Callithrix jacchus: one gene and its partners. The protein of the gene in region 1 interacts with the protein of each later gene in a pairwise test. Links are inferred from orthologs where the notes say so. Each region holds a gene or a part of one and is shown in the gene's direction. Other genes may lie near its edges. The genes, in order: ITSN2, KHDRBS1 and WAS.

Evidence for each region.
Region 2: the proteins of ITSN2 (region 1) and KHDRBS1 interact in a two-hybrid assay, tested with the Homo sapiens proteins (2 studies listed by BioGRID and IntAct, with this or other methods). The link is inferred for Callithrix jacchus from reciprocal best matches to the Homo sapiens genes ITSN2 and KHDRBS1.
Region 3: the proteins of ITSN2 (region 1) and WAS interact in a two-hybrid assay, tested with the Homo sapiens proteins (2 studies listed by BioGRID). The link is inferred for Callithrix jacchus from reciprocal best matches to the Homo sapiens genes ITSN2 and WAS.

The regions. Positions count from the first base shown.
Region 1 is NC_133515.1:91,037,474-91,041,127, forward strand, and holds part of ITSN2 (intersectin-2), read left to right. Parts: intron 1-578; coding exon 579-700; intron 701-1,449; coding exon 1,450-1,532; intron 1,533-3,654.
Region 2 is NC_133508.1:68,645,338-68,648,991, forward strand, and holds part of KHDRBS1 (KH domain-containing, RNA-binding, signal transduction-associated protein 1), read left to right. Parts: intron 1-691; coding exon 692-838; intron 839-3,458; coding exon 3,459-3,592; intron 3,593-3,654. UniProt on the Homo sapiens protein: Recruited and tyrosine phosphorylated by several receptor systems, for example the T-cell, leptin and insulin receptors. Once phosphorylated, functions as an adapter protein in signal transduction cascades by binding to SH2 and SH3 domain-containing proteins.
Region 3 is NC_133524.1:49,258,282-49,261,332, forward strand, and holds the end of WAS (actin nucleation-promoting factor WAS), read left to right. Parts: intron 1-335; coding exon 336-450; intron 451-2,195; coding exon 2,196-2,251; 3' UTR 2,252-2,512; downstream 2,513-3,051. UniProt on the Homo sapiens protein: Effector protein for Rho-type GTPases that regulates actin filament reorganization via its interaction with the Arp2/3 complex. Important for efficient actin polymerization. Possible regulator of lymphocyte and platelet function.

The DNA.
Region 1 (3,654 bases):
CATGTGTCTGGCAGTAGCATCAGGGGCCTAATGAGGTGTTATCTCTATCTTAAGGACCTTCCTGGCTGACCCTAAGCCGTTGTTATGGGACCCTCTTCACCTCTTTCCAGATGGCTCGTGCTTCTTTAGCCACTTCCCACAGGAAGCTCTCCCCACCCACTGCTGGCTGTCAGCCAGGCTCCAGCTGAGATTCTGGCTTTCACCTGGCCAGCTGGCCAGCATGACACCTGGGCTCACTGCTGTCCATGTTCAGCGTTGGGTCTCTATAAGCTGAGCCCAAGCACAGCACCAGTACTGGTAGCAGTAGAGAGAGCCTTTTGCACCGGCAATTGTGGGCACTCGGAGCTCCTGTCCCCAGAACCAACACCTGACCCAACTCAGTGATTACTTTCACAGAAATGGAGGCTTCATTACTCTTACAAATGGAGGTTTAATTTGTTCTGTGTGGAAGAACTTAGACCCTAGACCCTTTTTCTCCTCAGCAAGGTTCTTCAGAACAAACAGAACTCTCTCTAGACATAGGTGGGTGGAGTGTTCTGGCCCATCTCACAGCCTGTGTTTGGCCCTAATTCTTTCAGCCCATTTTCCTGAATGAAGTCTTGGTGAAACTGCCCACAGACCCTTCCAGCGATGAGCCTGTCTTCCACATCTCCCACATTGATCGGGTCTACACCCTCCGAACAGACAACATTAACGAGAGGTCAGTCCTGACCATGTGTGGCCTGCCTTGAACCCCGGGAGAAGGCCTGGACATCTCCCTCTGCCATAAACCCATCCTCAGCTGTGCTCAAGCCCCACTACTCTGTATCCTGAACCTCTCTTAACACGTCCCCTCTGCTCCAGTCCCACAGTAGGCCTTGGTCACCGCAGCGGCCTCCTAACACGTTTCCCTGCTTCTAGTCTCTCCTCACACCACTCAGCAGTCTTTGCAAATGGCAAGTCAGCACCTCATGCCCTGCAGGGGCTGCCCACAGGCCACAGTCCATTGTGCTTTGCTGGTGTCCGCGGCTGCAGCCCCACATCCCACCACCCGCAGGCCTCCGCCCCCCAGGTGCCCTTGTGTGGGTGTGCCCCCGCCGTTCCCAGCTTCCTTCAGGCTGCCGCTCCAACAGCACCTCCGCGATGCCAACCCAGGGGGTGCTGCTGCTCCTCTGTGTGTGCTAGAACCCCTAGTGCCAAGGGTCATCTGTGGGGCCAGTGCATTGTGTGTCTCCGGGTCCCAGCGCCTTGCGAGTGCCTGGGGTTTTGTGATCAGTCAAGAAGGGTCATTAGCAGTTCTCAGCTGGATAAGCATAAGCGTCTTTCGGTTGACTAATATCAGGTCTTTGATAGGAAACTTTTGAAGGTTGAGGTTAGCAAAAGACTGAAGAATATGTGCAGAGCTCTGGGGCTCAGGGCTGAGCTATGAGGGTGGGAAGCGGCCAACAGCTAACCCTGCTTCTCCCACAGGACCGCCTGGGTGCAGAAGATCAAGGCAGCGTCTGAGCAGTACATTGACACTGAGAAGAAGAAGCGTGAGAAGGCTTACCAAGGTATGAGGGTGCCCAGAGGGTGGGATGTAGCCCCCAGGGGCCCTAGGGACCTCCTCCTGCAGTCAAGCTGATGAAATGGGGACGGGCGTGAAAGAGCAGACCTGCTGCAGGATCAGACCACAGAGCCCTCCCCTCTCGAAGCTACCATTGCAAACCCTTTTGGGCCCCTGCACACACAAACATGGGCTGGCAGTGCTGGCTCTGCCCTTCCCCCTCCCCCACACCTTCTCCAGTCCTTTCTCTCCACACCTCACCTCACCTCACCCTCACCTCACCTCACCTCACCTCACCCCACCTCACCCTCACCTCACCTCACCTCCTCACCTCACCTCCTCACCTCCCCCTCACCCTCACCCTCACCCTCTCACCCTCACACTCTCACCCTCACCTCCTCACCTCACCCTCACCCTCACCCTCACCCTCTCACCCTCACCCTCTCACCCGCACCCTCACCCTCACCCTCTCACCCTCACCCTCACCCTTACCCCCTCACCCTCTCACCCTCTCACCCTCACCCTCACCTCACCTCACCTCACCTCTGCTTGGGCCATCGCAGGCCAAACCTGTGGTTTGCCTCCCTTTAGTTCCCCAGCAGCCCCTGCTCCCCCTTGCTCTTCCGCCATCCATCCTCTCCCTTGGCAGCCAGGGGACTAGACCCTAAGTCTGCCCTCTCCTCCTCCTGCCCCTGCCTCCTCCCTCTTCTCACCTCACCAGACTTCAGTCCATGTCCTGTCCTGTCAGCAACACCAGTGGCCTAGTTAGGGGCTCAGCTCACTTTCCCTGCCCCAGCTCCCTGCACTGATGGCAGTCACCGAGGCTCCGCCTTCTCTCTGGACCCTGTGGTCCAGCTGGCCACACTCCTCGAAACCCAGACCTCTGAACAGCGCCCTCTAGAACCACCTGCCCCACTGCTCCCACATCACACATTGGCCTTTCCGGGGGACCACCAGCCTCCTTCCAGCAGTGGCTCCTCCTCCCAGGACCCTATGTGGACAGTAGTGTGGTCCCCAGTCACCCAGGCCCCTCCCTGATGCCTCACACCCGGTCAGCTGCAGGTCCTGCAGTGCTCCTCCCTCACCATTCTCCCATCGCCCTGCTCTCCTGCCCCCATGTCACAGGCCCCCGATCTCCCACCCAGGCTGCAGCACAAGGCTCTCTTTCCTCTCTGTCACCCATCCTCTTCATTTCTGGAGTATTCTTTCCAGAGCTGCTCTTACCTCTTCCTGCTGAAGTATCTTCCCTAGCACCTCCCAAATTCAGGACACATTTCCTGCCGCACACTGAGGGCCCATCCCCACTATTACGTGCCACCCAGCCCCATTTCCAGCTCTTTCCTGTGTCCAGCCATCCACCTGCCTAGTTGAGCAGCCCATCGTTGCCCTGCCCAGCCTTCCCACGCACACCCCTCCTCCAGCAGAAGTGCTCTGTCCCCACCTTAAATTCTTCCCATTCTTCAAGGCTCACATCAAGGTGTCCTCCATGTCACCTTCCCTCATGCCTTGACCAGCATGACTTCTACCTGGAGCCCCCGCTGTCCTAAGGCTGTGATCATTCTGTCTCTGGATTCTCATCCTCTGTTGTCTCTGCTTGCGCCCCGAGCCCCCGCTTTTCTCATGTAATGGCCATAAGCTCCCCGAAGGCAACCCCCTGCCCCGCCAGGCCCAGCATGTAACTTAGGCCGGTGGGGCTCCAGATTTGTTATATTCGTAGTGTCCTCTCTGTTCATGGCACAGCTTACTCACCTGCTCAGTGGAGCTGCCATGGTCTTTGTAAAGCACCCCCCACAACCCCGCTCTGCCGTGGCCCTCAGACCAGAACTGCCATTCTTCTCCAGCCTCCCTGCTGTATGTCCAGCTGTGCCAGGCCTGCCTGTGCAGCTCATGGGAGGCTTGTGCTCTGAGCCAGCTGCACCTCCACCCTTCCTCCCCACCCGGCCCCCATGCAGCCTGCCCTCCTGCCCAGGCCTCCTGCCAGCTTCCTGGCTGCTATAGTTGCAGCTCTTTATGTGTTTTTTCATTCAGGTTTCCCCTATTTTGTTATATACTCCTACAAGGTATGTTTAAAACAGCTTTTGCTAATTTAATATTATTTTAATGGTACTTTAAAAGCTTGCTGTTGAAAA
Region 2 (3,654 bases), on another chromosome or scaffold:
AGCTATTATCTTAATAGAGACTAGAATTAAGTTTTTCTTCTTTATGCTTTTAATAAGAGCTCCAGTGGATAGCTCAGTGATTTAAGACAGCAATTAACTGTTAGCAGCAGACCACGTGCACGTTTAGCAGGTTGTGCAAATTACTATTCTTCAGAGCTTATTTTACTTTCAGAGCTTGTTTTACTCTTTTTTTTTTTTTTTTTTTTTTTTTGAGACGGAGTCTTGCTCTGTTGCCCTGGCTGGAGTGAAGTGGTGCAATCTCGGCTCACTGCAACCTCCACCTCCTGGATTCAAGCAATTCTCCTGCCTCGGCCTCCTGAGTATCTGGGATAATAAGCGCGTCCCACAACACCTGGCTAATTTTTGTATTTTTAGTAGAGATGGGGTTTTACCATGTTGGTCAGGCTGGTCTCAAACTCCTGACTTCATGATCCGCCCACCTGGGCCTCCCAAAGTGCTGGGATTACAGATGTGAGCCACTGCACCTGGCCTCTTGTTTTACTTTCTTAAACTTTCCTGTTTTTCTTTCTTTTTTTTTTTTTTTTTTAACTCTTCTCAGCTCATACCAATTAAACTTTGTTGTTTTTCTTAGACATTAGGGTTATTTCTTGCTGTTCCTTTGGGTTAGAAGTAAAGGTGTTGTTTTCTCCCTAGTCCATGTGATAGGACATTTCTCTGCGTTTTTCCATAGGAGGAAGAGCTGCGCAAAGGTGGAGACCCCAAATATGCCCACTTGAATATGGATCTGCATGTCTTCATTGAAGTCTTTGGACCCCCATGTGAGGCTTATGCTCTTATGGCCCATGCCATGGAGGAAGTCAAGAAATTTCTGGTACCGGTAAGGAAATCCATATTCTGTGTCTTCTGAGCAAAAGAGAACTGGGATCTTAGGCTGTTGTGAAGGTAGGGGTTCTTAACTAAGATCTCTGTATAACCTGTATGTATACCAAATTCTTCATTTATGTTCATTTTCCTGAGTTAGTTCATTACTTGTACCTAGTTCTCAAAGCATTATGCTCCAAGGCCACTCTATGCCTCCTTGTGTAATGTGGTTTTCATTGTGTACCTGTATCTGTTGTCAGTATCTTGGGTCCACAATGTGTCTGCTTTCTGATATTTGGTTAACTAAGGTTTAACAGGGTCTTTACCTAGCTGACTATTTTGGTAGTAGTGTGGAACAAGGAGATTGTGTTAAGAACATGACTAGGGTGGGTCCCTGTACTCAAGAAATTTATGCTGTAGAGTATAGGCTAGCAACGAGAAGCTAATAGCATTTAGTGTTACTGGATTAAATTCTGACCTGAGCACACTCAGGGATTTCTCTCCTGGAGGAGTTTGCTTTGGACGAGGCATGATTGTTGTAGGCTTGACTGTCAATGTTTAACAGATTGGTGTGCAGCGTTTTTCAGACGGTAACTGAGGACTAGATAGAGATGGGACAGGCCAGTTTATCTATTTTGCTTAGTACTACCTGGTCAGAATATTACTTTGAATAAATAGGAAATGGTACTATTTTTGACTTTTAGCAAGGCTTGGTGGTTGCCAAAGTTAACATACTACTGTTGAATATTTAATAACAAGGATGAATCTGGAACCTTATGAAGGATTTGGAATATTATTCAACTAGAATTAAGTGTCATGTGTTCATTATTAAACTAAGAGGAGATAAGATAACAGTCCTTGGTTTTCCTGAATGTTAAATGAGGGAGTTGGAAATAAATTTGGTGTTAGAGGATATGAAAGTTGACAGAGCAAAAATTTATGCTGAACTCCAAGGAGTCCAGTAGTTTCAAATGTCTTAGCAGCTGCTTTGTTTTCAAGTACCTCATCTTCATTAGAATGTTCAACATGAAACAGACTATTTAAAATATCCTAGAGAAAAACACAGCCAGTTAATCTTTCTTCAAGGGAATTCTTTTTACTCTCTTTGGGGTGTTCTATTGAACACCCAAGCCATTCAGTTTCCAAAGGACTCCAGACAGAATGCCCATCTCCTCTTTATTGTTGGTCTCCAGCATATTCCTCAGAAGTGTTAGGTTTATGAGGCTTCCATGTAAGTCAGTCCTTTAAAAAAGATACCTGCTGGGGAGATCTGGGTTTCCTCAGTGTTGATGTGATAGTTGGAGGAGTCTGAGCAGTGGTCTGGTATTGGTTACTTGATTCTCCAAGGTGTGCATCTCAAGCAGCAGTAATGCTTGAGATACACAGTGTAAGGTAGGAGGAGGTGGAGTGTAAGATAGGAGGAGGTGGAGAGTTGAGGGAGCCATCAAAGACTAGAATCATCTGTTGAAGCTGTATACGCCTGGGATATATAATAATGCATAAAGTATTAAGACTGGCTCTCAAGAGGAATAGTGAAAAGATTTACAAATGGCATTTCGCTTGATTCTTCCTTCTCGCGGAGAAAAAAAGCGAGGCAATTTTTGCATCTGTAACCAGAGCCCTCCATTTTCTCCTTAGAACCATTAATTGTACCAGGAATGCTTCATGCTGCAGTAGGAAGAGCACAGGACTACATATGTCTCTCTTTCTGTGTCTTCCTAGACAGGTTATCATTTCACTTTTCTGAGCTTCAGGTTCCTTATTCATCCCAAACATTTGTTAAATATCTGGCAGATGTCTGATACTATGCCTGGGTATAAAGGTACAAAAATGGCTCCTGAAGAGCTTACAATGTGTGACAGACAATATTAAAATGATATGGTAAGTGCTTGGGTACAGAGAATTACATGGCACTTTGGAAAAAGAGGAGTTATGGGGTGGCATCAAGAGAAAGCTTTTCAAGAGACACTTATTTAGACAAGTCTTGTAAGGATGAGTTAAGAGTCCCTCAGGTGGACAAAAAAAGAAAATATAGCCTGTTGCTCCAACACCTAGATTTTGAGACAGGTAATTCTGAATTCACATCTAGAGTCTGCCATTTATTAGCTCTGTTCTTAGTCTGGGTGATGTATATTTCTTGAGTCTGTTTTCCTAACTGTAAAATGTGAAGATCTGCCTACTTCAAGGTCATTTTGAAAAACTTATATAAAGGTTAAACTGAAAAACTTATATAAAGGTTAGTATATAGAGCCAAGTACATACAGCTCTGTTAAAGGTCGTGGCTTTTATTATTCCAGGAAAAGGAACTATTTGCAAAGAATGGATGTGTAAGAGTATGCCAGGCTCTGAACTACAAGTTGTTCAGCCTAGCTTATGTGGAGGTTATATATAGAGGGAGAATGGCAGTGATCCAGAAAGCTAGGCAGGGATCACATTATGAATAATGAGGGGTCTGCCATCAAGATTTTCTCAAAGAGGTGACAGGTATGGTGCCATTTGACTTCAGAGAATGAATGACCTGAGACCTCATCTGAGCTCTCAAAGCTGTTCTTAGAATTCAAGACTCCTGTGGCCAGATGGTTTCTTAGTTGAAAGCGTAGATATCACACAGTACTCCTTGTATCTTTCATTCCCAGGATATGATGGATGATATCTGCCAGGAGCAATTTCTAGAGCTGTCCTACTTAAATGGAGTACCTGAACCCTCTCGTGGACGTGGGGTGCCAGTGAGAGGCCGGGGAGCTGCACCTCCTCCACCACCTGTTCCCAGGTAAAAATAATGGAGACACCCAGAAATAGGGTATAAATTTGATTACTAGTATCATCTCTTTT
Region 3 (3,051 bases), on another chromosome or scaffold:
TGTCCGCACTAAGTTCAGCATCAATATGGTGACCTCCCAGGAACGGGGGACCACCAGGTTGCCTAGGAGAGGTGAACTGGCCCAGGTGGGAAACGGAGCAGGTCAAAACTCCCGTGCTGATCAATAGTGGGATCGTGCCTGTGAATAGCCACTGCACTCCAGCCTGGGCAACATAGTGAGACACCATCTCTAAAAAAAAAGAAAAGAAAGAAAAGTTGATGGGGAGCCTTGAAGGGGACTGGAGTGTGTGGAAGGGAAAATAATGATGGAGGGGCAGGGAGAAATGCTCCTTTCCCAGGCCCTGAACCCTCTGTGCTGACCCCTGCCTGCTGCAGACCCCTGGTACCACAGAGAGCTCAGCACTGCAGCCACCACCTCAGAGCTCAGAGGGACTGGTGGGGGCCCTGATGAATGTGATGCAGAAGAGAAGCAGAGCCATCCACTCCTCCGGTGAGTTGATCCTGCCAGGGCCTCAAACCTGGCTCCCAGGGCTAGCACTGGCCTCAAAACAATCCCAGCAGTCACCACCAATACTGACATTAGTCCCATCTGTTGACAGCATTAACATGAATCTTGTGTCAGTCTCCTTTTTGACAATGTTAACATTAAGTCATTATGTGACAATAATATAATTAACTCCAACTTTGACAATAATATTAACATTAATGCCAGGGTGTGTCCACAATATTAAGGTTATTCCCTTATGTTCAGTAACATCAGCTGGCCGGGCACGGTAGCTCATGCCTGTAATCCAGGAACTTTGGGATGTCAAGGCAGAAGGATCCCTTGAGCACAGGAGTTCGAGACCAGCCTGGGCAATATAGTAAGACCTCGTCTCCACAAAAACTAGAATTTTAAAAAAGTAGTTGGGCATAGTGGCAAGTACCTGTGGTCCCACCTACTTGGGAGGCTGAGGTGGGAGGATTGCTTGAGCCTGGGAGGTCAAGGCAGCAGTGATCCATGATTGTGCCACTGCATTCCAGCCTGGGTGACAGAGATCTTATCTCAAAAAAAAGAAACATTAACCCACTATGTGATGAAAATATTATGAAGAACACCATTGTTGACAATAATATTAACTTTAAGTCCACGTGTCAACAGATTTATATTAATTCATTATGAGATAATAATCTTATAATGTAATATTTTTTCTTAAATGCTTTGAGACAGGGTCTTGCTCTGTGTCCCAGGCTGGAGTACAGTGGTGCAATCATGGCTCACTGCAGCCCCAACCTCCCAGGCTCAAGCGATCCTCCTGCCTCAGCTCCCAGAGTAGCTGGGACTACAGGCATGGACCACCATACCCAGCTCATTTTTGATGCTTTTTTGGTAGTGATGAGAGCTCACTATGTTGCCCAGGTTGTTCTGCAACTCCTGGGCTCAAGTGATCTGCCCACCTCAGCCTCTCAGAGTGCCGGGATTACAGGCATGAGCCATCATGCCTGACTGTTAACCTTATCTTTTTATGATAATGTTACTATTACTCTCTTAATGTGTCAGTAATACTGTCACTAATCATTATATGATGATAATATTAATCTCAACCCACTAAATGATAATAATACAATTAACTCCAATTTTGACATTAATGTTAACAACATTAACCACAGTGTGTCCACAGATTAAGGTGAATCTATTATATGACAATATTATAGGAACTTCATCTTTTGACAATGATTTTTTTTTTTTTGAGACAGACTCTTGCTCTGTGACCCAGGCTGGAGTGCAGTGACACGATCTTGGCTCACTGCAGCCTCTGCCTCCTGGGTTCAAGCTATTCTCCTGCCTCAGCCTCCTGAGTAGCTGAGACTACAGGTGCACCACTACGCCCAGCTAATTTTGATAATGTTATTGTCATTAACCTCATTATGTGTCAAAAATATTAGCATTAACCAGACAAAAAACAATAATAAATTATCCTGCCTTTGCTAATAATATTTAAATTCACTCCAATAAATAGGTTAACATTAACCCTTTATTTGACAACATCTGGACTAACCACATTTTTGACAATATAAACTTCAACTCCAATTAGAACTCAGACCCTACCTATAATTCCTCTCTTGTCCCAAATGGAAACTCTAATGTACCATCTTCTAGCAGGAGACCTCAGCCCCCCAGGGTCAAGTCCTTACCTCCCAGACCCTATGAAGCCCCCCACCAACCTCCCAGGGCATCTTTCTCTTTCCCTCCAGATGAAGGGGAGGACCAAGCTGGCGATGAAGATGAAGATGATGAATGGGATGACTGAGTGGCTGAGCTGTTGCTGCCCTGCGCTCCTACCTGTAGGAAATGGCTCCCCTTCTACCTGCTCTGTGCCCACCCTCCACTCTCCTCTTCCAGGCCTTCAACCCTCATTTCTTCCCCATCAACCCCTCCAATGCTGTTATTGCCGCCTGGTCCTCACACTCACCCTAGCAATCCCAAGGCCCCTTTTATAAAAAAAATTCTCAGTTCTCTTCACTCAAGGATTTTTAAACAAAAATTAAAAGAATTGTCTTTTTGTCTCTCTATAATTCTCAGTCTGTTTACATTCCAAATGTGGGTCTCTTTCCACCAAAGTTCCTTTTATTCATTTAGCCTTACATGTATATATATATATTCATTCACTAATTTATTCCCTTGGTCAATTAGCCTGTATTTCTGTGTTTCCTTCTGCCCCTCTGTCTTTCAATAAACATTTATTGCCAAGTACTATTTTAGGGGCTAGGGATCAAGCAGTGGAAGAAAACAGCCAAAAATTCCTGCCCTTATGGGGTGAAATCCACATTCTAGGGGAGGAGGCAGAGAAGAAACAAGAAATCAAATAGAAATAAAAAAATAATTGCAGACTCATGATAAATGCTGTGGAGTGGTAAGGCAGAGATACAGATGAAACAATATTCAGATGGAGAGATCAGGGAAAGCTACTTCGAGGAGGTGATGGTGGTGCTGTACCTAAAGAGACAGAAATGTCGGCCAAGTGAATATTTGGGGAAAAAGGGTTCCAGGCAAAGGGAGCAGCCAGTGCAAAGGCCCTGAGGTGAGAAAAAGCTTGACATGAGGCCAGAT